Linked DNA regions of Notamacropus eugenii. The protein of the gene in region 2 interacts with the protein of the main gene of each other region in a pairwise test. Links are inferred from orthologs where the notes say so. Each region holds a gene or a part of one and is shown on either strand. Other genes may lie near its edges.

Evidence for each region.
Region 1: the proteins of KIFC3 (region 2) and PSMB1 interact in binary tests that used the Homo sapiens proteins (3 or more experiments, as listed by UniProt). The two-hybrid records come from large-scale screens. The link is inferred for Notamacropus eugenii from reciprocal best matches to the Homo sapiens genes KIFC3 and PSMB1.
Region 3: the proteins of KIFC3 (region 2) and MID2 interact in binary tests that used the Homo sapiens proteins (3 or more experiments, as listed by UniProt). The two-hybrid records come from large-scale screens. The link is inferred for Notamacropus eugenii from reciprocal best matches to the Homo sapiens genes KIFC3 and MID2.

What each region holds. Positions count from the first base shown.
Region 1 is NC_092873.1:267,358,222-267,365,425, forward strand, and holds the start of PSMB1 (proteasome subunit beta type-1), read right to left. Parts: upstream 3,095-7,204; 5' UTR 2,906-3,094; coding exon 2,784-2,905; intron 1-2,783. UniProt on the Homo sapiens protein: Non-catalytic component of the 20S core proteasome complex involved in the proteolytic degradation of most intracellular proteins. This complex plays numerous essential roles within the cell by associating with different regulatory particles.
Region 2 is NC_092872.1:716,303,854-716,311,749, forward strand, and holds the start of KIFC3 (kinesin-like protein KIFC3), read left to right. Parts: upstream 1-4,807; 5' UTR 4,808-4,946; intron 4,947-5,542; exon of another isoform or gene 5,543-5,695; intron 5,696-7,896. Other genes in the region: uncharacterized protein, read right to left, coding at 2,026-2,097, 3,885-3,995, 4,399-4,729. UniProt on the Homo sapiens protein: Minus-end microtubule-dependent motor protein. Involved in apically targeted transport. Required for zonula adherens maintenance.
Region 3 is NC_092879.1:28,910,102-28,917,750, reverse strand, and holds the start of MID2 (probable E3 ubiquitin-protein ligase MID2), read right to left. Parts: upstream 3,095-7,649; 5' UTR 2,988-3,094; intron 1-2,987. UniProt on the Homo sapiens protein: E3 ubiquitin ligase that plays a role in microtubule stabilization. Mediates the 'Lys-48'-linked polyubiquitination of LRRK2 to drive its localization to microtubules and its proteasomal degradation in neurons.

The sequences.
Region 1 (7,204 bases), on a different chromosome or scaffold from region 2:
CTGAGGTGAGATTTGAACTCAGGTCCTCCTGACTCCTGCACTGGTGCTCTATCCATGAAAGTAACCTATCAGTGAAAGGCAACAAGCATTTATTAAGGAGTTATTATCTGCCAAGCATTATGCTTTGTTTCATTGTATAATAATTCTAAATAAAGTCTATCTAACCCTTACTCCCTTTTACAGTGTAGAAAACCTTTGGTCAAATGCCCAAATATCAAGAACAATAGAGACACAGGCCTAAAGTTCAGTCACAGAGTTGGATTTTGAGTTTGTAAACATCTGAGTCATACTAAAGAGTACCTCAGAATTGATCACAATATAAGGCTCAAAGTTACTTTGCAGAGTAAGCAAAGTGTAGTGCTGTTACCAAGTCAGTTGGAGAGTTAAGGTATTTAGAGATGTGTTGTTGCACAAGTTTGTATAATGTTATCATAAGGCTTAATTCAACACTCATGAACTTAATAAAGAGAACACAGAATGAGTAGAAAGGATCAATAATTGAGCTGAAGGGTAGGGGGTATTCCCAAACTTAGGGAACAGAAACAAAGCAGAGACAGAATAGCCCAAAAAGCAGAAAGGATAACTGAATAGAATAATGCCACTGAGACCAAGGGTAGAGTTTTAAAGAAAAGATGACTAGCAGTATATCCAATGTAACAGTGGCATGAAGGAGAAGAAGGCTGAAAAAATATCATTGGATTTGACAATTAAGTGATCATTAATAGCCTTCAAGAGCAGTAGTTATGAAAATCAAATGGCAAAGTGTTAATATATCAGACCTTAAGAAATACACTGGAATCCTTTTATAATGCTGATATTAGGGGGCAGGTTTATCAGTCACCATAAAGAATATCTAGAAACAGAGGTGTTTAATGCAGCGGTTCTCAAAAGAGTGATCCAACAACCCCTGTAGGATTACCCAAGACACTTTCAGCGAATCTGCCAGCCCAAAACCACTTTCTTTAGACAAGAGGTGGGGGGGAGGGGGGAAGGAGGGAGTGGGTGGGTGTGTTTGTGTGCATGTAAATAAAACACATAAATAAAAGTTGGGAGGAAAGGGAGAGGAAGAGGAGGCAGTTTCCACAATTAAGACCATAAAGGAATCCTGACACCAAAAACTTTGAGAACTGTCAGCCTACTGGATAGAATGTGCTACACTTGGAGTCTCAAAGACCTTGGGTTCAAATTTCACCTCTGACACTTATTACCTCTGTGACCATGGACAAGTGATTAACCTCTTTCAGTCTTGTTTTCTGCATCTGTAAAATGACAGAGTTGAACTACACGGTATCTAACATTCCTTCTGATTTTAAATCTATAATCCTATGACCCTTTTATATCTCATTTGAAACATACAATTATTCAGGGAAGACAATCTGACCTCTAATATAAATAAGTCTGGTTTTTGGTATTGGATTCAAATATATTTGATATTTAGTATTGGATTCTACTGTACCATGTTGCTACCAAAAAAAAATGAACTGCAGTTATGAAAAGGACAAAAAATATACACAAGAAAAACTTAACAATATTTTCAAAATCCTAACGACCTAATTACACTCATTTTTTCTGACTGAAAAAATATATATCTGATGACATACAAAATGAGAAAAATATACACACAGAAACTTGTCGGGATGAAAAGCTTAGCCACTGCTTTGATTTATGTTTTATATTAACTGTACAAGCCCTAAATAGAATATCACAGTTATAGTGGCAATAGTGCTGAGTCAGAGAACCTTCCTTCATATTTGGACTCCCTTTTTATTAGACATGTGACCATAGTAATCCTTAGCATCTCTGCTCAGTTCCTGTATCTACAACATGGCAATAGATCCTTGTAAGACTTCACATCAACCCTATGTAAGTTATAAATATATGAGTGCATGTAGACACATAACATTTACTGGAGCTTGAAGCTTCCAATTGGATTTAAAGAGATTGTATTTAAGGGCAATATAATGAGTGCTATAATTAGCAGCCTTAAAGAAAGAGGGACTCTTCACTTGTGACTTCATTGGTATAGGAAGTCTCGGATGAAGAAACTCCCTCCACCAACTGGAACGTATGGTCTTAAAAATCCCCTAAAGCACTGGCTAAGTGACTTGCCCAGGGCCACCCAGCTGATAGGTGTCAGAGGCCTGAAGCCCTTCCTCTACACCAGGCCACCGTGCAATACGCACCACAATAACGAAGCGGTCCTTTCCAGTTCTGAAATTCTATCGTTCTTGCAATTCTTTTAAAAGCGCTGACACCAACCTTGCCATACAATCTCACTCCATCCTTTTCCCGTTAAAAGTAGCACGTGTAAAATCTGTTATAAAACACGCTAACCCATTTGAAGCATCACAGACCCTTCTGATGAGGATACGAGATTGCATGCATGGGGGTCTGGAGAGGGGCTCCCCCAATGCACAGCTGCAGACGCTCAGAGTGGGGGATGGGGCGGGGATGGACAGAGCGTCAAAGCTAGAATCCAGGGATCCTGACTTCCCAGCCAGCTTACAGACTACGGCCAAGTACACGCGCAAGCTGCTTCTTTAGGGGGAGCAGGGGCAGACGGCGCCACAGACAAAGCCTGGCACGACCTTCTGCAAATGAACGCAGGCCAGTGGGCCGACTGGCACAGAGGGAAGCTGAAGGCAGGCCTGAAGTCCCCGGGGAAGGGGATCGGGCTCAGGATCCGGGCGCCGGAGCGAATCGAAAGTGAAAGCGACGCCGGGTCCGCAGCCCGGCCTCCACTGAGGAATGCGGCGGTGCCAGGAGGCCCAGCGAGCCCTTACCCCCCGTTGAAGGCGTAGGGCGAGAAGCGGCGCTGCACGGGGCCCGCGCTGCTATGAGGCTCCAGCTCCCGCTCCGTCCCGAGCCCCGGGTACGCAGCGGCGAAGGGGGCAGCAGACAACATCCCGCAGCGGTGGCGGCGGCGGCGGCAGGAACGGTCCTCTGGCTGCTGTCTCACCGAGAGATGGCTGCCACGCCGGAAATTAAGTTACTTCCGGATCCCGCCCCCGCCCGGCTCCGCTTCCGGCAAAGCCGCTCTAGCTCCTCTACACTCTATGGTCCGCTCCTGCGGGCACGTCGCCCCCTGCGGTTCGGAAGCGCTGTCTGGGGCTCCTTGCTGTGTGTGTGGGGGGGGGGGGGGGGACGTGAGAGGGAGGGGTTCAGGGAGGATCTCCCTTCGGAGCTAGAGAAGACTCACCGCCAGTGTCCTGGGCTCGAAGCAGGTGTTTGGCCTTACCTGTTCTGGGAAGCTTTACTAGCTCAAACCATGTAAAAATACAGAACCGACCTCTGAGTCCTGCGTTCAAGTGCTGCCCTTAACAAGCACAAGCCCAGAGGCCTCCGCTGAAGAGCTGTCCTTGGAGAAAGGGAGTCCCGGGTTCAAGGTTCAGCCCTGGCACCTACTGACCTCTCCTGACGCTGGCTCTGGGAGCTCCCGGAGGAGCAAGCTCCCTCTACCGACGCAATCGCACCTTCTCACCTGTCTCCGGTGTTGGAGAGTTACCCAGACGATGGAGAGGTTCCCTCCCACCCCCCATTCTTGGATGAAGATGTGAGGTCCAGAGTGCCTTGCCCAGGGTCTGACTGGTAAGGAAGGGCAAAATTCGAACCCAGGCCCTCTGCCTCCAGATCCAGCTCGGAGCCTGCTGTTAAACTACAGCTTTCAAAACTCAAAAGTTTATAGAAGTGAATGTTGAAGACTAAAAACAAATAAATAAATTTTAAAAATAGATAAAGTACCAGCTTTCATCAGGAGCCAGCACTAAGGGTTGGTCTGTTTCACTCAACCCAACAATGGAATGGCCTGGCAGCCAAGACATTGTATTCTGCGAGTAAAGTGCACTTGGTGGGGAAAATGTTTAATAACTCTTCAGCGACTGAGCTGGTCCGGAACAGTGTACTTTTGGTTTTGGAGGGGTTTGTGCTTTTATTTCTCCGATATCTTCTTCATAAAAATATTCTTTTGTAAAAGCTAAAATAAATAAAGTACCAGCTTTGCCCTTGGATTGATTTGCTTAATTCCTCCCAGACTCAATTTTCTCCTCCATGAAACTGGGGAGGGTGAGAAGAGATGATCTTTGGGGTCCCTTCCAGTTCTAAAAAAGTTTGTGAAAATTACCATATTGGTACAAAATCATAAAGACCAACCTTGCTTCAAAAAGAACATATAAAAAGGCATTTCCTTGCCCCCTCCCCCCCCCCACACACATTCCTTTGCATTGGGGTAACTGATCAGTGAAGAATATTACATAAAATATCTGATTTTTTTATGTCAATTTTGCTGAATTTTTTTCTTTTCCTCTTTTAAAAAAGTGGTTATAAGGGGTAACTGGGGAGGGTGAGAAGCTGGACATTGTATAAAGAGATGAGAAGCAAGCAGCAGCAGTGTGGCTCAGATCCCAGGAGGAGAAAGGGGTCTCAGTTCTAGCTTCTAGCCCACCCTGAAACTTGCAGAGTAATAACCAAGGCAGGAATTCCAGAGCTAAGGCCAGCCTACAATTCTGTTACTCTCAACCAGCAGCATTTCTCAGATGGCTGATAATAGCTGAGTCCAGCAGTAATCTACTACTACCCACACCAGGAAGTTTCAGAGGTCAGACTAAGCAGGCAGCTATCAGACTTTGCACTGAATCAGACAATTTTAGGAGTATTGAAAACTCCAAGCCTGAGTTGTTCCTGAGATTATGAAGTAACACAACATTTCAATATGCCAAGAAAGTAGCAGTAGAAGCAGCTCAGATATTCCCTCCAAAAGTGTACAGATCTTGGCCCTAAAATTAAGTCTAAAGTCAGAAAGGAAGCTTGAAAAATAAACAAACAAAAATCCCATCATGAAGAGTTTTTATGGTGATAGGGATGCTGAAGACAAACTCAGAAGAAAATTACCTCAAAACAACTACAAAGAAAAATGCAGCATAGGCCAAAAAAAAATTTAACCAGAATTCCTGGAATAGATGAAGCATACAATGACAACAACATGGTAAAGACACACAGCTTTGAAAGAATTAAGGACGCTAATCAGTGTGATGACCAACTACAATTCCAGAGTACTAACAATTACGTATGCTCCTCACTTTCTGATAGAGAGATGAAGGGCTCAGAGTGCAGAATAAAACAAAGGTTTTTTGGATGTGGCCCATACAGCTATGTGTTTTGTTTGACTTTACATGTTTGTACCATGTAACAACTTGTTTGTAACAGCTTTCTTCCTTTCATCCTCAAAGAAGGAGAGAAGATGGAATTTTACTTGTTGAAAAAAAAGGAAATATAATTTTTTAAAAGCAATGTTCAATAGGCTATTGGCAATGCAAGATCAGAGATCAGGGCAATGAATGGCACTAGATATATAGGTCTGCAAGTCATCTGCATAGAAACTTGGTAATTTCACCAGTTCCCAAGGATTTAAACATCATCTCTCATAGAATATTTGAGTGTTTTATTATTTATGTCTAACTCTGAGTCCTTTGTGTATATTCAGTTTCTATTAAGGACATACAAAAACCGTTCCACATTTGATAACCAAGAGACGACCCTAAACATGATCCAAGTCTTAGCTTTGCTGGAAATTTCTAAATGGGAGCAAACCAATAGAGAAATCTGACTTGATCTGAGGTCAGCCCTCCTACCTTGATGAATCTAGTCAATTTAAACTGACTCCCATGTTGAGGGGAGGGAGAGATCTGAGTAAAGGATACAAAATATAAAAGAGTTTATCAATAAATACTTGGGGCTAGGGAAATTTGAATTAGAGCTATCCCATGAACAGTCCTCAGAACTGCCCTTCTTTCTGATTGACCAAGTTGTTGGACAGCAGTTTCAGTTGTGTCTGACCCTTTATGACCCTGTTTGGGTTTTTTGGTAAATGATTTGCCATTTCCTTCTCCAGCTCATTTTACAAATGAGGAAACTGAGGCAAACCAGGTTAAGTGACTTGTCCAGAGTCACACAGTTAGTATCTGAGGCTAGATTTGAAATTAGGTTTCCATGACTCTAGGCCTGGTGCCCTGTCATCTGAACCATCTAGCTGCCCTCTAGTTGACCAGAGTGGGGAACTTTGGGGTCTACTTCTGGTCATGGAGTAACTTGGCACTGAAATAACTAGGTATTCTGGATGACCTTGGAAGGGTTTCTTAGTTCTCTCCATGCCACCATGACAGAAGTAGGGGGTGAGATACCATATTAGTTAAAAGAAGAAACAGCTTCAGTGTCTTTGCTTCAACTCTTCCATTGGACAAGTAATAAGCTATCTCTAGATTCTTCATGAAGATGGTGGAGGAATAGGTTATGTTCTTTCTTCCCAATCCACCAACACTGCCACGTGAGCGTTTGACCGGGTCCCTGGCAGCCTTTTTCAAAGTGACCAAACGTTAACTTTGAGGTGGATGTGTCTAAGCTTGCCTACGATCATGTGAGTTTAGGAAGCCTTTAGCTTCTTTGCACGTAAAACTGGAACTGGCTGGCGGTCTCAGGGTAGAAAACTCTGGGGATCTTGGATAAGCTGACTACCAACAAAAGGCCCGGGCCAAGCCCATCTCTTTTGCCCCCAGATACCTACAGAGAACTGTTTTGTTGCTTATTCTATGAAAAGAAGTGGGGTGGAGCAGTGATTTCTTAATTTTATTTGTATAAAACCTGAATTGAGGCAATTACGCGCTTTTTATGGGATTTATTTTTATGTGTTAGTGTTTACTTAGGGATTTTTAACTTTTTGATTTCTTTTTTCCTTAATTTTATCTTCATAAAACCTTTACAATGGCAATTATTTACCTGATTATTTTATAAAAAGGAGGGGGTGGAGTAGTAATAAAGACATTTTAGGAGGGGTGTGGCTAACAAAAAGTTTGAAAACCACAGTCCCAGGCAAAGTGCACCCAGAGTGACAAGGGCCCCGCTCAACTGATGGGAATGGGTGCCGTGAACACGCGCCTCTCCAGAAAGACCCAAGTGCCACAAGTAGCGGCTATTCAAGCCTCGCTCCAGAGACCAAGGCTGCAGCACCACAAGAGCTAAGCTAGCTACCAGCTCCGCCCACACACCTCCCTAGCACCGCCCACTCCCAGTCACGTGGGAGCGTTTCCGGAAGTGATATGACTGCCCACACTGAACATGGCTATATAAGTCAATGGCCGCAGGCGAGAGTGAAGCTAAACGGAAAGATGGCGGAAGTGGCGTCACTCGGCGCGCCGGGAGGTTAGGAAGGCCG
Region 2 (7,896 bases):
GGGGCATAAATGAGGAGGGACTGCATTCCAAGCAAGGGGGAAAGCTGGATAAAAGCAAGTTAGTGGGAGGTGGAATATCACATATGAGCAACAACCGGGAGACCAGTGTTGACAGAATGGTAGATTATGTAGAGGAGAATGGAGGCTAAGAAGACTGGGAAAGGTGAGCTTAATAGATGCTTGTTGACTGATCAACTTTCTGAATGGAATAATTTGTCAATGATACAAAATACCATTACGATCATAAATCTTGAAGAACAGACCATAAGGAAACATCCTAATTATTAATTAATTAAGTGTCTCTGACTGTACATATCCTGTATATACTTTCTGTGTTGGGAAATACTAGGGTGGGGTTCTGGTGGTACAAAGATGGCCAAGGAAAGGTGATTTAATGTGGATACAGTACGAATACATACTGTATTATAACACATGACAGGTCAGAATATGATAATCAGTCAATCAACCAGGTATCTATTATATACTTGGCACTGTGCTGTGTGTGATAAATGCAAACCAAAGAGAAACATATAAAATTCTCTGAGAAATTCTGGAAGGGGAAATCTCTTTGACTGAAGGGACCTGGGCAGAGTCCATGGAAGACTCTGGGTAGTCTCCCTTGCGTTGGGCCTTGAGGGGAGATAAGAGTTTTAATCCAAGGCAAAACTGTAAATTGTCACTAAAAGCAGATTGGTTAAAAATATCTTCAGCTAGATTTGAGCAGCAGATGGAGAGGAATGAATGCGAAAGAAAGAAAGAATGAGGAACTAACATTCATTAAATAATGGGTGTCATTGGTATGAACACTGCATTACAAATCATTCTGGGGAAAGGAAAGAAGGGCACGGAAATGCTGAGGGTTAGCACCGAGATTACTGCTCAGATTTTCCTTGGGAGGAGTATGATTCCGAATGGCCAAGAAAGGAAAATAGACTGGTTGAGTTACTTACTTTTCTAGCCTGTATTCTCCGCCCCAGATTATCTTTGTTAAATCTTTTTATTACTCATTGCTTAAAGCACCTATCTACATGAATGCACGCTTTGGCATTCCTTTCATTTTTCTCTCTGGGAACTGATAAAAACCAAGGTCGGTTGACCTTCAATATTATATCTGCCAGTTAGCTCCTGTTCCTAAGACTCCACTGTCAAGGCACATCTTTGGAGCCTCCAGATAGAAGGGCCACAGAGCTGGGAAAAGTAGAGATTTCCCGTTGAAACAGAGAGCTCAGTGGGCAAATGAACTGTATGTTTTACAGCAAACAGAAGTGTTTACTCACGAAGAGGGGGTACATGAGGCAATGAACTTGATATATTTCAAGTGAAAGTGGTTAAGTTTTTGGACATAAATTATTTGGAACATGACCTCAATTCTCCATTTTGCAAATATATATTTATATATTCTGGTCTTCCTGACTCCAGGTCCGGTCTTCTATCTGCTGTGCCCCTCAGCTGCCTGTGTGATGACCCACTCAAACTTCAGACCTCTCCCACTTAGGGATGAACTAATCTATTAACTACATGAGGGCATCATGTCTATGAATGGGAGGGGTGGCAATGAGGAAAAGTGAGCATTGGCATCCTGTGAACCAGGTCTTCTGAACTGCCCCAAATAGAATTCTTGGCTCTAGCAACATGTGCCCTGGGATTTGCCATGTTCTTCCAAGGTAATTATAAGGAAGAGGACAAGTTCCACCCCCATCCCCAACATGTCCATTAGTGAGATGCCTGGTGTAGTGATGGCCATTAGGTTATACTTTCTAGTGAAGCTCACCTCCAGAAAAATACAGACAAAAAGTAAAACGTGTGAAATATCTCTTTTCAGCATTTCCAACCAGATTCCATCTTAATTTGGATTCAGAAAATGCTTTTCCCTCCCCCTTCCTTGTCTTTCTTTTCCTTTCTACCTAGCTTCTTAAAAACTCTTTGATACTAATAATAGTAGAAATGCTATCCGAATAAATTTCAAACCTCCCAAATACAGCTAGGTCTTTAGTGCTGGACTTTAAAGATAACTCCCCAAAGTACCAGGTCCAGTTCTTTCAATCACACCAGCCAAGGGCTCCTTCCATAAAGCTTTACTCTCAGAAAGCATGGCACCTAATAAAAAGAGATACAAAACAAAAAGGAGGGGTGTCATGGAGCAATGGATGGAAATGGCCTCAGACACAGGAAGATATACCGACTTTGGGACTCAGGACAATTCTCTTGGCTCCTCAGAGGTCTGGCTAACTCTCAACTGCTAAGACGGTGAAGACCTGCATTGGCAGAGGAATTCCCTATCAGGGGATCCTTCTAGAACAAAAAACTCACCTAATTTGAACCTTCTGGACCAGAGTTCTTAAATTTGTGTGTCTGTTTGTGTGTGTGTGTGTGTGTGTGTGTGTGTGTGAGAGAGAGAGAGAGAGAAAGAGAGAGAGAGAGAGAGAGAGAGAGAGAGAGAGAGAGAGAGAGAGAGAGAGAGAAAACAAGAGAGAGAGAGAGAATGAGGAAACAAAGAGAGGGAGGAAGGGAGAGAGAGGTGGGTCCCTTTGGCAGTCTAGTGTAGCCTATGGACTCTTCAGAGTAAGTTTTTAAATGTTTAAAATAAAATACATAGGATTACAAAGGAAAAAAAATTTTTTAAAAAGAAAATGTATGAGATTCCTTACAATATTTCAGTCATTGTGGCTTAAAAATCCATGACTCAGTGGCAACCTCAGAGAATTTAGCTATCTGGGTCCTCAGATGAGAATCATGCAGTCTATTGTTAGGCCTGTACTTGTACCATTTCTACCTTTAGTGGACTTGCAGGAGTTGGTGGATAGTTCCTTGTCATTGTCTGTGAGAAGTCAGAGTCATCTGTGGGTCCTGATCAGACCTGGTGGGAGAACTTTTGTGGAGGATCCTCAGCAATAAGTGTTTTGAGTCCACTCCCAGTCTACTAGACTGGCTCAAATGTTTTACTGTGATGTGGAGGTGACCAGGAGTTCCCAAAGATTACAGATGCCTGAGCAGATGCTACCATTTGAAAAAGACTTTGAATGGGAGCCCAAAGGACTGAAGATACTGTGGGCCACTTACCTCCTGCCAGAGAGGGGTTGGATTTAAAATGTGTTGCTGTTCAGTTGTGTCTGACTCTTTGTGATCCCACTGGGGGTTTTCTTGGCAAAGATACTAGGATGGTTTGCCATTTTCTCCTCCTTCTCATTTTATAGATGAGGAAACCAAGACAAACAGAGTGAAATGGCTTGCCCAGGGTCGCATAGCTAGGAAGTATCTGAGGTCAGATTTGAACTTAGAGGAGTCTCCCTGACTTCAGGCCAGGCACTCTATCCATTGGGCCACAGAGTGCCCCATTTAAAATATACAATGAGCCATATCTTTTAGGACTTGGTTAACATGAGGATTTGTTTTTGCAGATTGTGTATATTTATGATAGGTTTTATTTTTCCTTTTTAACTGTCCAGTTGCGGGGTGAGGGGGACAGTGGGAAAGAAAGATATTAGCTGTATGTGAAAATAGATAAATAATTCTTTTAAAAAATTGGAGACTGTCTGTCTCTTGTATCTGAGAGCAACCTAGCTAAATCTGGAGAGCCCATCTCTGAGTTGGAGGTAGGCTGAAACATTTTTTGGTCTTTGAAACTCTCAAAGCTCACTTACTAAGTTTCAGAGGAGGTGTAATCTGTCAGAAGAGCGAATGCTCATGAACCTGCAAATGCTGGACATTTGGTACCTCCTCTTCAAGTATATTTACTATGTTTTCTAAATAGACAAATTATGTTCCATTTGAGAAAACAGAGGCTCTGATGGCTAAAATAATTTGCAGTCTAGGCAGGACTTTGCTTTGATCAAGATTCTTGACTTTCAGCCCAGGGCCCAAATCCAGACAATTCTCTCTCCTACCAAGCAGCAGCAGCAGCAGCAGCAGCAGCAGCAGCAGCAGCAGCGGACAAAACCAGCCTTGAAGTGGGTGACTCTCAGCATCTTCTAGGTCTTTTATTCTGTCTTCTATACCTGGCAAGCAAAGAGGGGACACTAGGCCCATCCCTCCCCCCCCCCCCCCCCACTCTATCTCCAGTAGAATCATCATTCAGGCTACATGTGAAGTCTCTTTCTTCTCCTCCTTCCACACCCCAGAGGGGAAATATTGCTGCTCTCTCCAGAATAAAATGCCGGCACTGTTTAGGAGACAAAGAACAATGGCTCCCTGAGTTGGGGCTCCTAAGGTCAGCTGTCATTCTTGTCTCCTGGGTTTAAGGTCCTCCTAATCCCTTCCTTCTGCCGCAGATTTAGTCTGGGGGCTTGATAAGGGGAATAGCTGCTCTTGGGACCCCTCGGCTGGTCCAGGAGTGGTTGGGGGTCAGTCCTCCCCCTTTTCCCTTTAGAGGTCAAAGGGGCTTGTGTCTTTCTTCCTTACCTGCTCTGACGCCTTGGCACGAGTTTGGTTCGGGGGTTGGGGGGGTGGGTGGGGGCACCGAGGAGAAGGGGACGTTCTGAGAATCAGCCCTGCTCTGTGCGTGTGTGCACGCGTCCATACGAGTGTGCATGGGTGTGCACTCATGTGCCTGCGTGAGCGCGCATGCAGGCACTTGTGTGCCCGCTACTCCGGCCCCGTACCTGGTGGGAGGGCTCCTGGACGACCCAAGGAGCCCCCCAGCTCCCCTGTCTAGCTCTTCTCCCCAGCCTCTGGCTGCTTGCCCGCCTCCAGCACCGAAGAATGTCTCCAAGTGTTGAGAGCCGGTTACCATGGGAACCAGCAGCCGTTCGAGTTAATCATTTCCTGTGGAAAGTGTAAGGGGGTGGGGTGGGGGGGGAGGTCAGAGACGACAGTGTGACATTCCAGCTTCGTACCGGGCGGCCGGGCGGCCACGGGGATGCCAGAGCGGGCAGTGCCCTGTAGCTCCTCCCCAGGGGGCAGGGGAGCTGCCACCCCGGAGGGACCCCGGGCTGGGCAGCGGGGACCAGGTGAGTCACTGGCCCTGATGCCTCCGCCTTTGGGGGGGAGGGGAGTGGGACGTGGGCCCCCCAGCTCCATCTGGAAGCCCACCTTCAGGCTTTTCCAGTCTCCAGCTCGGCTCCCGCTCAGCTCTCTCTTCTCACGCCGGAGGGGCTACGCCTGGGGATCCCTTTCCCTTGCCCAGTTTTGCATCCCCAGGACACCCCGCTCTGGCTGCCAGAGATCCCCCTTAGGGGATCCCGGTCCGGCACACCCGGGTGCTGGAGGGAGGTAGCTGCAGCGGCCTGAGACTGGAGGGGCTTCGGGGGGCGGGGGAAGGGATGTGCTTTGAAAACAACCCCGAGATAAGTCTCCCCTGGATTTTCCTGGCTGCAAGCTTAGGGCTGCAGTTGGGCAGAGAGGGGCGGGGCTCATTTCTGCTTTAAAGCCTTCTCTACCGAGATTCCAAGGTTTAAATTCCCTTACTGGATTGAGTCGGGCGGACTAGCCTGGTCTCTGTGTACCTTGGGGGTGGGGAGAGGTGGGGATCGATAACTGAGACCCTCCTGGGTGATCTGAGTGGAAGAGTGAGGCAGCCTGCCTCTGGGGGGTGGGGGGTGCACACCTCCAAATGAGGCTCTGATGGACTTGGAGAAATACTGGTGCTGAGCTGGGGGCTCCGCATTCTCAGCTCCCTGTCCATCCCGGGGACGCGTTGAAGAGGGGTCCCAGGCAGACGACGTGTTTCGATTTTCTTGGGCAGCTACCAGGACGGAGGCTAGTTATTAAGGTTTAAATGCAAGAGGGCCAGGTGAAGAGTCTTCTGGGAGACTGTTTTCAAAGGAGGGGATCTGTCCGTTTGGAATTTATGCAGGCAGATGCCTTGCGATCGGGGGTCTCCTTTCTGCCTAGTCCCGTCTGTCTTTTGTAAGACTGCATTTTCTCCACCATATATCTCCATCCCCTCCTTTCCACTCCCACCGAAACCACCCCAGTTTAGGCCCTTATTTCTTCTGTCTAAACTATTATAATAATCTCCTGGTTTCCATTCTTCTAATCTTCTCCAAACTGTCCCACTAATTCCACTGCCCACCTGATATGTGCCTTTGCCCATAGCAGTTTCTCTACTCAAAAAACTTCAGTGGCTATCAGAGCATAAATTCCTTACCTTGGCATTCAAAGCCTCCATAATCTGGCTCCCATCTACCCTTCCAGCATTATCTTAAATGAATGTTGTTTGATCTTTATTCATGTACTGTGTTCCAGTCCAGTTGAATTTCTCTAGGTCTCTTTATAAATTTTGTTTTCTCCCATTTCTGTTCCTTTGCTTTCCCCATCTCCCATATCTGGACTCTTCCTCCTCTCTTGCCCATCTTTGGAATTGCATTTCTTTCTTCAAGGACCTGCCCCGTGTCACCTCTTCCAGGAAACCTTCCTTACCTGGCCCTAACCAGGTGAAGGGGATCTTTTTCTGGCCTCTCCTTCACACTACACAGAATCCAAGGAGTTTAGAGATAGAGGCAGTCCACTGAGTCCACCATGTACCTGAGAATCCTTCCTGCAGCAAAAGGTCTTCCGCGACCTTTAAGGTCCAAAGATTTCTATTCGGGGAGAACCTATTCCCACCCAACCCAGCCCATCCATTCTTGGATAGTCCTAACTAGGAAGTTTTGTCCTTATATGAAGCCTAAATCTGCCTCTTTCCACACACTGTGCCCCCATTTTTGCCCTCTGGGGCCAAGTAGACCAAGCTGAATCCTTCTTTTCATAGCTGGCCTTCAGATACTTGAAAAAGAGCCATTGCTTTGCCACTGAGTCTTCCCCTTCTCTAGCCTAAACACTCCCAGTTCCTTCAGCTGATCCTTATATGGTATATATACTCAAGGTCCTCTCAGAATGCCTTCCTGATTACCAATGGCCTTACCAAAGTCTGGCACCCAGAACTGAACCCAACTCCACAAACGTGGACTAGCCAGGTCAAAGTACTTAATATACTGTAGTTTTATCACAGCTTTTCATTTCTGCAGATTTTCTTCTCATTAGATTGTAACCTCAGAAGCAGGTTACATAGTTTGTCCGTCTTTGTGGTGTCTAACACGTTGAATAATAATATCCTAATAATAATATAAACTGGCATTAATATAGCATGTTAAGGTTTTGCAAAGTGCTATACGTGATATGTTGTTTGATTCTTACCACAACCCTGTGAGGTAGGTGCTGTTATTGTAATACATTTTGCAGGTGAGGAAACAGGCACAAAAAGTGACTCGCCCAGAGTCATACATCCATACATGAGGTATTTAACTTGTAGAATTGTTTGTCAATAGTATTTTTCTAACACTCGTCTAGACCTTTTCCTTGACCAGATGGACAGAGTCAGTATATTGAAGTCCGTATTTCAGATCTCGGCTTCCTAAGACAGGAGCATTAGACCAAAGTACATTCTCTACCCTCCCCCAACCCTTCCCCCACAGCCCAGCTTATCAGTACCTTAAGCTCAAGGAGTACATACTCTTGCAACCTGCTCGTCAGTAGCTGGTCTTTTATTGTGTCCTTGAAATAGGCCAGGCTAGTGGCTCTCTGAGGCTAATTGGAAACAAGGCCGTGGGTTGGCTCTATGGCTTGGCCAGCCTACCCTGACCTCCACAGCGCCCCATCCGCATGCTGAATACAGATTGCTGCCTTGGGCTGCCTCTGATAGGAATCTCTCTAGTCCCTTCTCCTCCAACCAGATTTGGGATCCGCCTATGTTTAGGGGCACATTCACACCCATGTTGGTTAGGTTTCTGGCCCGGTACTTGTCTTAGGCTGAAAGTTGGTCCAGGACATCATTAAGCTAAAAAGGTCTAGGAAGGTTGTTGGGTAGGGGACGGTCTTGTTCTCTTGGCTCAAAACTTTGAAGTTATTCTTGATTCTTTGAGGTTCTTGACTTCTCATATCCAGCGCTGCTGAATTTTGCTGTTTCTTCCTGTACAGTAT
Region 3 (7,649 bases), on a different chromosome or scaffold from region 2:
GACTCGTGTGATACATAGGCCCGAGGCAAGACTTATATGAGGAACCCAGCCAGAAGAACAACTAACTACAAGAGCCACTGTCCTCTCCCTTTCCCATTCCCAGCCTCTGCTGTCCAGAGTAGATAAGACAAATACCCACTCCACCCCAACACCAACAAACCCCAAGACCGTGGCAGCAGATGGATCAGTTTGAGGCTCAATAAATGTTGTGACTCATTATAACGACATGCTAAAGATGCCTAAAATGTGCATGCCAAAAACTACTTATGTTGCTTTCCAATACAAATGAGGTAGCTGCCCCCACATAGGTTCAAAATGGGTGAGGCTCTATTTCCAAATGACTGACTCAGATAAGCCATGGTAGAGCACCTTAAAATCATTTAGGCTATGACTGAAACTGATTAGCATTCACCAGAATGAATCCTAAGGTTCCTGAGTCCTGCTTCCCCCCACCCCTTCTGTTAGCTTGAAGAAAATCAGGCTTGTAACAAAAACAAGGTAACGAGTAAATTTGGCATCTAGAAGACCAATAACAGCAAGTGAAGGTTTTTATCTTGCCAATGTCCCGGCTTTACTCATTATATAACCAGCTTTCTTTCCCTATGTACAGAACTGGCTCTGGACTCAGAGTTCTAGCTCCAGAGGCTGCGAGGGACCTCAGAGGCCAACAAGTGTAACCCTCTCATTTTACAGAGGAGGAAGCTGAGGCCCAGGGAAGATGAAGTGACCTGTCCAAGGTGACCCAGAGAGTCCTTGGAACTATGCATTCATACATATATACATAATCACACAGCTTTCATACCGATCTCTTCCTCCCTCCCCCAACACACACACCTTCCACCTCACAAATACACCCATCCACACACAAACCAAGGAAAGACACTCAAAAGAAGAGTAGAATGGGAGGGAAAGGATCAATGGGCTAGGTGGAGAGGGGAAAACTCTGGGTGAGTGGAAGAGTCCAAACATGGAACGACCTCAGAGGCTGTTGAGTTCAAATGCCTCATTTTACAGAGGGAGAAACTGAAACCTAGGCAGGGGAAGGGACTGGACCAAGGTCACACAGGTAATAAAGCATTAGAGTAAGAATTTAATCCCAGGTCCTCCATCTTGTGAAGGAATCGATACACTAATTCTGGAGTCAGAATACTTATATTCAAATCATACCTGTGATGCTATTTAAGACCTTGAGCAAGTCACTTCATCGATTTGGGTCTCAGTTGTAAAATGAAAGGGATATTGGAGATGAGCCCTGAGGCCCCTTTCAGTTTGAGATTAAGGATCCTGAGTGGAAACCCAATTTTCTGTCCTTTGAAGCAGACTGTTTCTTCAAGAATAAAGTTAAATTTCACAATATTGGGGCAAAAATGATTATCCCACTATATAAATGGGTATCCTAGAAAAGAAAGGTCTCAACAACTGCCCCGAGGTCACAAAGCAAAAATGGCATCCCAACTGGGATGAAATCTCTTATTTTCTCACCTTTCAGACCTGAATGACAACCTGGAAAACAGACTCCAGGTAACAAATCGGGGGCACTTTACATCATATTTTTCTAATAAACTAATTGGTCAGCCTGTGAGTCATGGAGGAGCCAATAACTGCTGATCCCCTTTGAAAATTTGCTAAGGAATCGGGCAGCAGAGGCTTAGGGTGGGAGAGGGAAAGGAAGCTTGAAGGCTGAAATCACCAGCTGCAGGAAAGACACTGCTCCTACCCCCCCCTCACCCCTACCCACACTCAGCCCCCGGCAGAGGGACAAAGCCATAAAAGAACCCTCCCTGGGCCAGTCACCCCTCCTCCATAGGGGAACACTGGGTAGAGGAAAAGGTGGAATAGGTAGTCTTCTCAGCTCAGCTGGGTCACCATTGGAATAAGAGCCAATAGAATGCATGCATGCATGCATGCATGCATACATACATACATACATACATAATCCCACTGCTTTCATATAGATCTTCCCCCCACCCCCCCAACACACACACCTTCCTCCTCACAAATACACCCATCCACACATGAACCAAGGAAAGACACTGAAAAGAGAAGGTAGAATGGGAGGGAAAGGATAAATGGGCTAGGTGGAGAGGGGAAAACTCTGGGTGAGTGGAAGAGCAAAAACTTCAGTCTCACAGAGGGCCATCCGCGGGAAATAGAGAAGGAAGGGCTCAAGTGGCCAGGCCCAAAGGGCCAGGCCCAGCCACTCCCGCCCCCCCTTCCACCCTGCCATCTTCAAGGTCCCCTTCCTGGCCAGCCACAGAGCGCCCCCCTTCCCCGGGCCGCCCCCCTAACCCCCCCTTCCTCCCCCAGCCAGTGCGCCATCGCCTGATGCTGGGATGGGCAGGGCAGGGCAGGGCCGGGACGGCAGGACAGGCAGAGCGGCCGGCAGGACAAGGTGCGGGGTAGGACTAGGCGGAAGAGTGAGGGGGGAACGTCAAGGCGAACGCGCCCAAGCAAGCCCCGAGGGGGCGTGCCCTCTGCCGGCCGCGTTGGCCACCCTAAGGAATGGAAGCAGGAGCCGGGCACAAGCGGGCACGCCGGGCGCACGCTGGCCTCCTTCCCTACCCTTCCCTCTGACTCGCCCGGCTGCCGCCACGGCCAAAGCTCCCGCCGCCGCCGCCGCCGCCCATCGGGGCGAAGTTGGGCAAGGGTGCCCCTGTCTCCAGGCGGGCCAGAGCGCCTTCCCAGCCGGCCGGCCGGCCGCCCACCCACGGGGCTCACCTGCAGGCGCTCCAGCGCCTCTCCTTGCCTTCCCCCCTTTGCCCATTCCCCGGGCGCCCCTAGCTCGCTTCCTTCCCTGCCAGGAGCCAGAGCAGGAGCGGGAGCGCTCCGCCAGCCCAGGGCGAGCCAGGGCGCGGAGAGCAGCCGGGCAGCGCAGAGCCGCCGCAAAGCGCCGAGAGCAGCCCGGCAGCTGGGCAGGGACCCAGCGACTGAGAGCGGCGGGCAGCCGCGGGCTCAGGCCCGGCCGGCCAGGGCGCTCCCCTACGTACCAGCTGATTCCAGCAGCCTGGCCTCCTCCGTCCTGTCATCTTGAAAGAAGAGACCCACTGAGCCGGGTGGAGGGAGAGGGAGCGTGCGGGTGTCTGTGCGCGCGCCCCGGCCCGGGGGAGGGCGGAGGAGAGCGTGCGTGCGCGCGCGCGCCTCTGCAGGCTTTGGAAAGACACAGTCCTGGACAGCCTCGGCAGCGTGCGAAATGCGGACGGAGGCAGAAATGTGTGCAAACTCCTTCCTGTTCCACCGTCCCCCCCATCCACCCCCGCCCCCCCCACTCTGTCGTTCCCTCCTCCTGATCCCCAGCCGCCCCGCCTGTTCCCAACGCAAACAGACCAACCACAACAGCCGGCGACACTTGTTGTCTGCCCAAGGAAAGGCCAGCTCTCCAGGGCCACCCACGTCCACAGACGAAGGCGCTCTACGCAAACCACCCCGGAGCAAAACAGAAATCAAGGACTGCGCAGACAGGGGCAAAGAATGGCAGGAAACCCAACCCAGCCCCGTCGTTATCTTTTCACAAAGGGAGAATGGTACTGAGTGGACTGTTGGCCCGGGGCCGAGCTGGTGGACAAGGAGCGGAGTCACACAAGGGCAATCGCTGTCTTCCACCATGAAACCAACCGAGCTGTTACCATGGGTACAACTGGGCAGGTGCAGCTAGATATTCTGGTGTAACAGGTGTCCAATACAGGCTGATAACAGCCAAGATCCCTGGCTCAGAGGACCTCTCCCCGCCACCCCCAAGTTCAAATACCACCCGGCACTACTTATGCAAGTCACTCTACCTCCTTGGGTCTCAGTTTCCTGTAAAATGGAGAAGAATGTGGAGGCAGTTGAAATAGATTGCCTCTGAGGTCCCTTCCAGATCTAAATCTATCTAAGCCTAAATCGGTGACCAGCCGTTCCCCATCTACCACAGTACTTGGGATGAGTCCTTTGTCCATCACCCAACACTCTATCCTTTACTGTTAGGAGTGGACTTCTCACCTCAATCCTGATTCTTACTCAATGCCACACCTGTGCTTTCCAAAGACAGCATCTTTCAGTCACTCAGACCTCAAGGCCATGGTTAAACAGTTTAATTACATTGGTAAAAAGTGTGGTCAACATCCAAGAAACAATGAGCACATATCATAAAATGTGCCAATCCACTCACCTACAAACTCTGATTCTCCAAGGCAAAGGGGAAAAAAAAATCCTCCCAGTCTGGACTCGATTTCCTCCCTCTTCAGCATCCCAAGGATAGTACAGGTCTGACTTCACAGCTTCCCAAGAATTGTTGTAGGGATATTCAAGGTTCCCTGGGTCATAGTTGCATAGACAAAGTCTTCTATCTACAATTTAAAGCCCTTCCAACTGTGGCCTCCTCCCACCTTTCCAATCTTTTTCACCTCCATGCATTGATCCAGCTACACCAGCCTCCTGACTATTCCATGCACATGAAATGCCACCTCCCAACTCCATGGAAGATGGTCTTTTGACTGGCCATCCCCCATTTCTTCAACAGTCTACCCCCAATCTCTGCCTCTTACCTTTCCTGGCCTCCTCCAAGACTCAATTCAACTTTTTACTTCTCTCACTGCCAGTACCTTCCCCCAGGAGATTCCTTCCCCTCTACTTGGTATATTTTAAATGCAAAGTTATTTGCATGTAGTCTCCCCCATTCAAATTGAGATCCTTGAAGACAGAGACAGTATTTTTGCCTTTTCTATGTTATCACCAACACTTAGCACATTCCTGGGTGCATACATGCACTTTCAGCATTGACTGACCAGCTCCAGGACCTCCTGGCTAACATTGCTCTGTCCCACCAGAGTTCCTTGACCCCCGTACGAGTGCCAACACTCACTTTCTTCCTCATCCATCACCACAGGGTCCAGCTAACCCAACCCCCAATGGGCAACAGGTAGTTTTCATGTAGTGTCTTTTCAAGGCCTCTCCATTTTCTGGGGCTATTTTGTTGCCTGATCTTTCAGCTTCTAGGAATAGGAGAGCTTTCCATCTCTCCTGTGTGTTCTCTGCCCTCCAAGATTCCTGAGCAGAGCTCTATCCTCTTGCTGGCTGACTATGAATTCAAGCATCCTCACAGCACTTGTTCCTTTTAGGGCTCCTGGGAGCTCAGGCCAGAATGAGGAAGTAGGCTTCTTTCAGAGGATCTTCCAGCCAAGCAATAGATTCAATCTCTCGTGCTTCTATGCCTTCTCCATTATCCCAGTCTCCAAAGAAGAAAGAAACAGGCAAATGGGGATTTGGCCCAAACATCCACAAACACAGAGTTAAAGGCTGGGGGGCCATTTTTGGTACCCCATGTACTAGGAATGTACTGCAGACTTCATTGACCTCTCAATGTCTCTACTTGGGTCACACCAAATCCTTACAAGGAAACCAAACACAGAGAAAAGCTTGAACACCTCTTGGCAAAACTGTAAAAACTTTCTGGTTCATGGTCAGATGCCTTTTACAAGAGGCCTTTCCCAGTCCCCAATGCTTCCTCAATAAAGTTATTTCCATCTACTTTGTATGTAATAAACATATACTTACAGTGTTGATGTACATGTCTTCCTCATCAGAATATAGAATCCTTGAGGCCGGTGTTGTTGTTCAGTTGCTTTTCAGTCATATTCAACTCTTCGTGACCCTGTTTGGGATTTTCTGGGCACACATCCTGGAGTGGCTTGCCACTTTCTTCTCCAGCTCATTTTATAGATGTGGAAACTGAGGCAAACAGAGTGAAGTGATTTGCCCTGGGAAGAGATCTCAGCAACCATCTAGTGCAACCTACCCATGAGGAATTCCCTCTATAACATACTTGACTGGGGTTGTCCAACCCTGTTGGGATACCTCCAGTAGGGGTACCCCATTGCACTTTGGGAAGGTTTTCCTGACACTGAGCCTAAATTCACCTCTTTGCAAGGTTTACCTTGCAAGATTCCTGGTTCTGACCTCTGAGCCTAAACACATAACAATCATGTTCTCCTTGAGTCTTCTTTTCTCTAAACAGAATGTTGCCAATTCCTTCAACTGTTTTTCATATCTTGGATGCAAGGCCCTTCACCATTGTCCCCACCCTTCCCTGGGTGTTCCCTCATTGATTGGTGTTCTTCTCAAACTATGCTGGCCAGAAATTAACATCATGCTCCACATGTAGTTGGAGCAGGGTAGAAGACAGAGGAGGAGTGTGTTGTTTTCTCTTTGCTTCTACGAATAAGTGTTTCAGAAGTTAGCAGGGTATAGTCAAAATGGAAACAAACTCCAGAGCCCTGAGTTCTAATTCTGGTTCTATATGTACAATTCTACAAGGAACTATATATAAAACACATGTCACTTCACTATTCCAACACTTGACCATTAAGACATCATTAGTAACTTTGGAGAAGGCAGTGTTGAATGAATGATTTGTTTGAAAACTGGATGATAGATAGTTCAGAAGAGAGTCACAAGTAAGGAAGTGGAAGTGCTGACTGTTGATAGCTTCATTAAGGTCACAAAAAGGAATGAGACATCAAGTTACAGTTCTATACCAGGGAATGGATGGATCAATTAAGGGGTTTTTTTTTTTGAGGATGAGGGAGATATGGTCATGTTTGGAGGCAGTAGGGAAGCTGGTAGGAGAAGATCATTGAGAGATTGGGGATGATAGGGCATTCTGCTGGAGAAGATGGGATAGAAAAGAACCAGTTGAACATGTAGAAGAGTTTGCTTTGGCAAGGAAAAGGGCCATCTCATTCATCACATAAGGCCTAAGTGAAAGAAAAGATAATGGCAGAGAGCATTTTGGTGACATGAGATGAAGAGGGAAGAAACTCTCAGCAACTGGTCTTCATATTTTCAGTAAAATAGGAGGTGGGGTTCTGAGCTAAGATGATGGGGGGGAGCCAAGATCTGCCTAGCCATTGACTGACTAGTCAATAAACATTTATTAAGCACCTACTATGTATCAGGAACTCTGATAAACCATAGGAGATTTGAGGAGGGATGAAAAGGTTGGAAGAACCACTTTCATGAGTAGGATAATGAGTTTATTTGAGAAGATTGACTTACAGCAGTGAGGTTACTTGAGGTTATATAACATTTGAGGTTATGCAACATAAATTTGTAATGGACCCAGTTAGTGGTTTCATGATTTTCTCTACCTTTGTTCTGTAGCATATAAGTAGGAGCAAAAGCAACAGATGCTGGACGTGATCCAAAACTGAGGCTCATAGAGTAATATTGGAAATATAAAAAAAGAGGGTTAAGGACTCCAAGGAAGAGAACAGAGTAGAGTTGAACTGGTTCACTAAGGGGTCAAGATAGGGAAGGGAAAAGAGTATAGCTGGAGTAGGGATGATGGCCTGAGAAAGAACTGAAGGGTTGAGAGATTGGAAGTGATGGCATGAACTAAGAACAAGGTTTGGGGTTGCGAAGAAGGAGAAGGGGGATGACTATAGACTGTGATCAGATAAAGGAATTTCAGTACTCATGAATAAAAGATGTGCCACACTTGTGAGTGATGGCAAGATCAAGGGTATGACCATCTCTGTATATGGCTATGGTGGGGTGGAGGAGTAGTTCATAGGAAATGAGTGAGTTAAGGAACTGAGAGAGCAAATTGTTTTTGTCTTATGACCACTGTTTATGGTGGGCTTTGGGGCAGCCCTTAAACCCTGCCCCTGCTC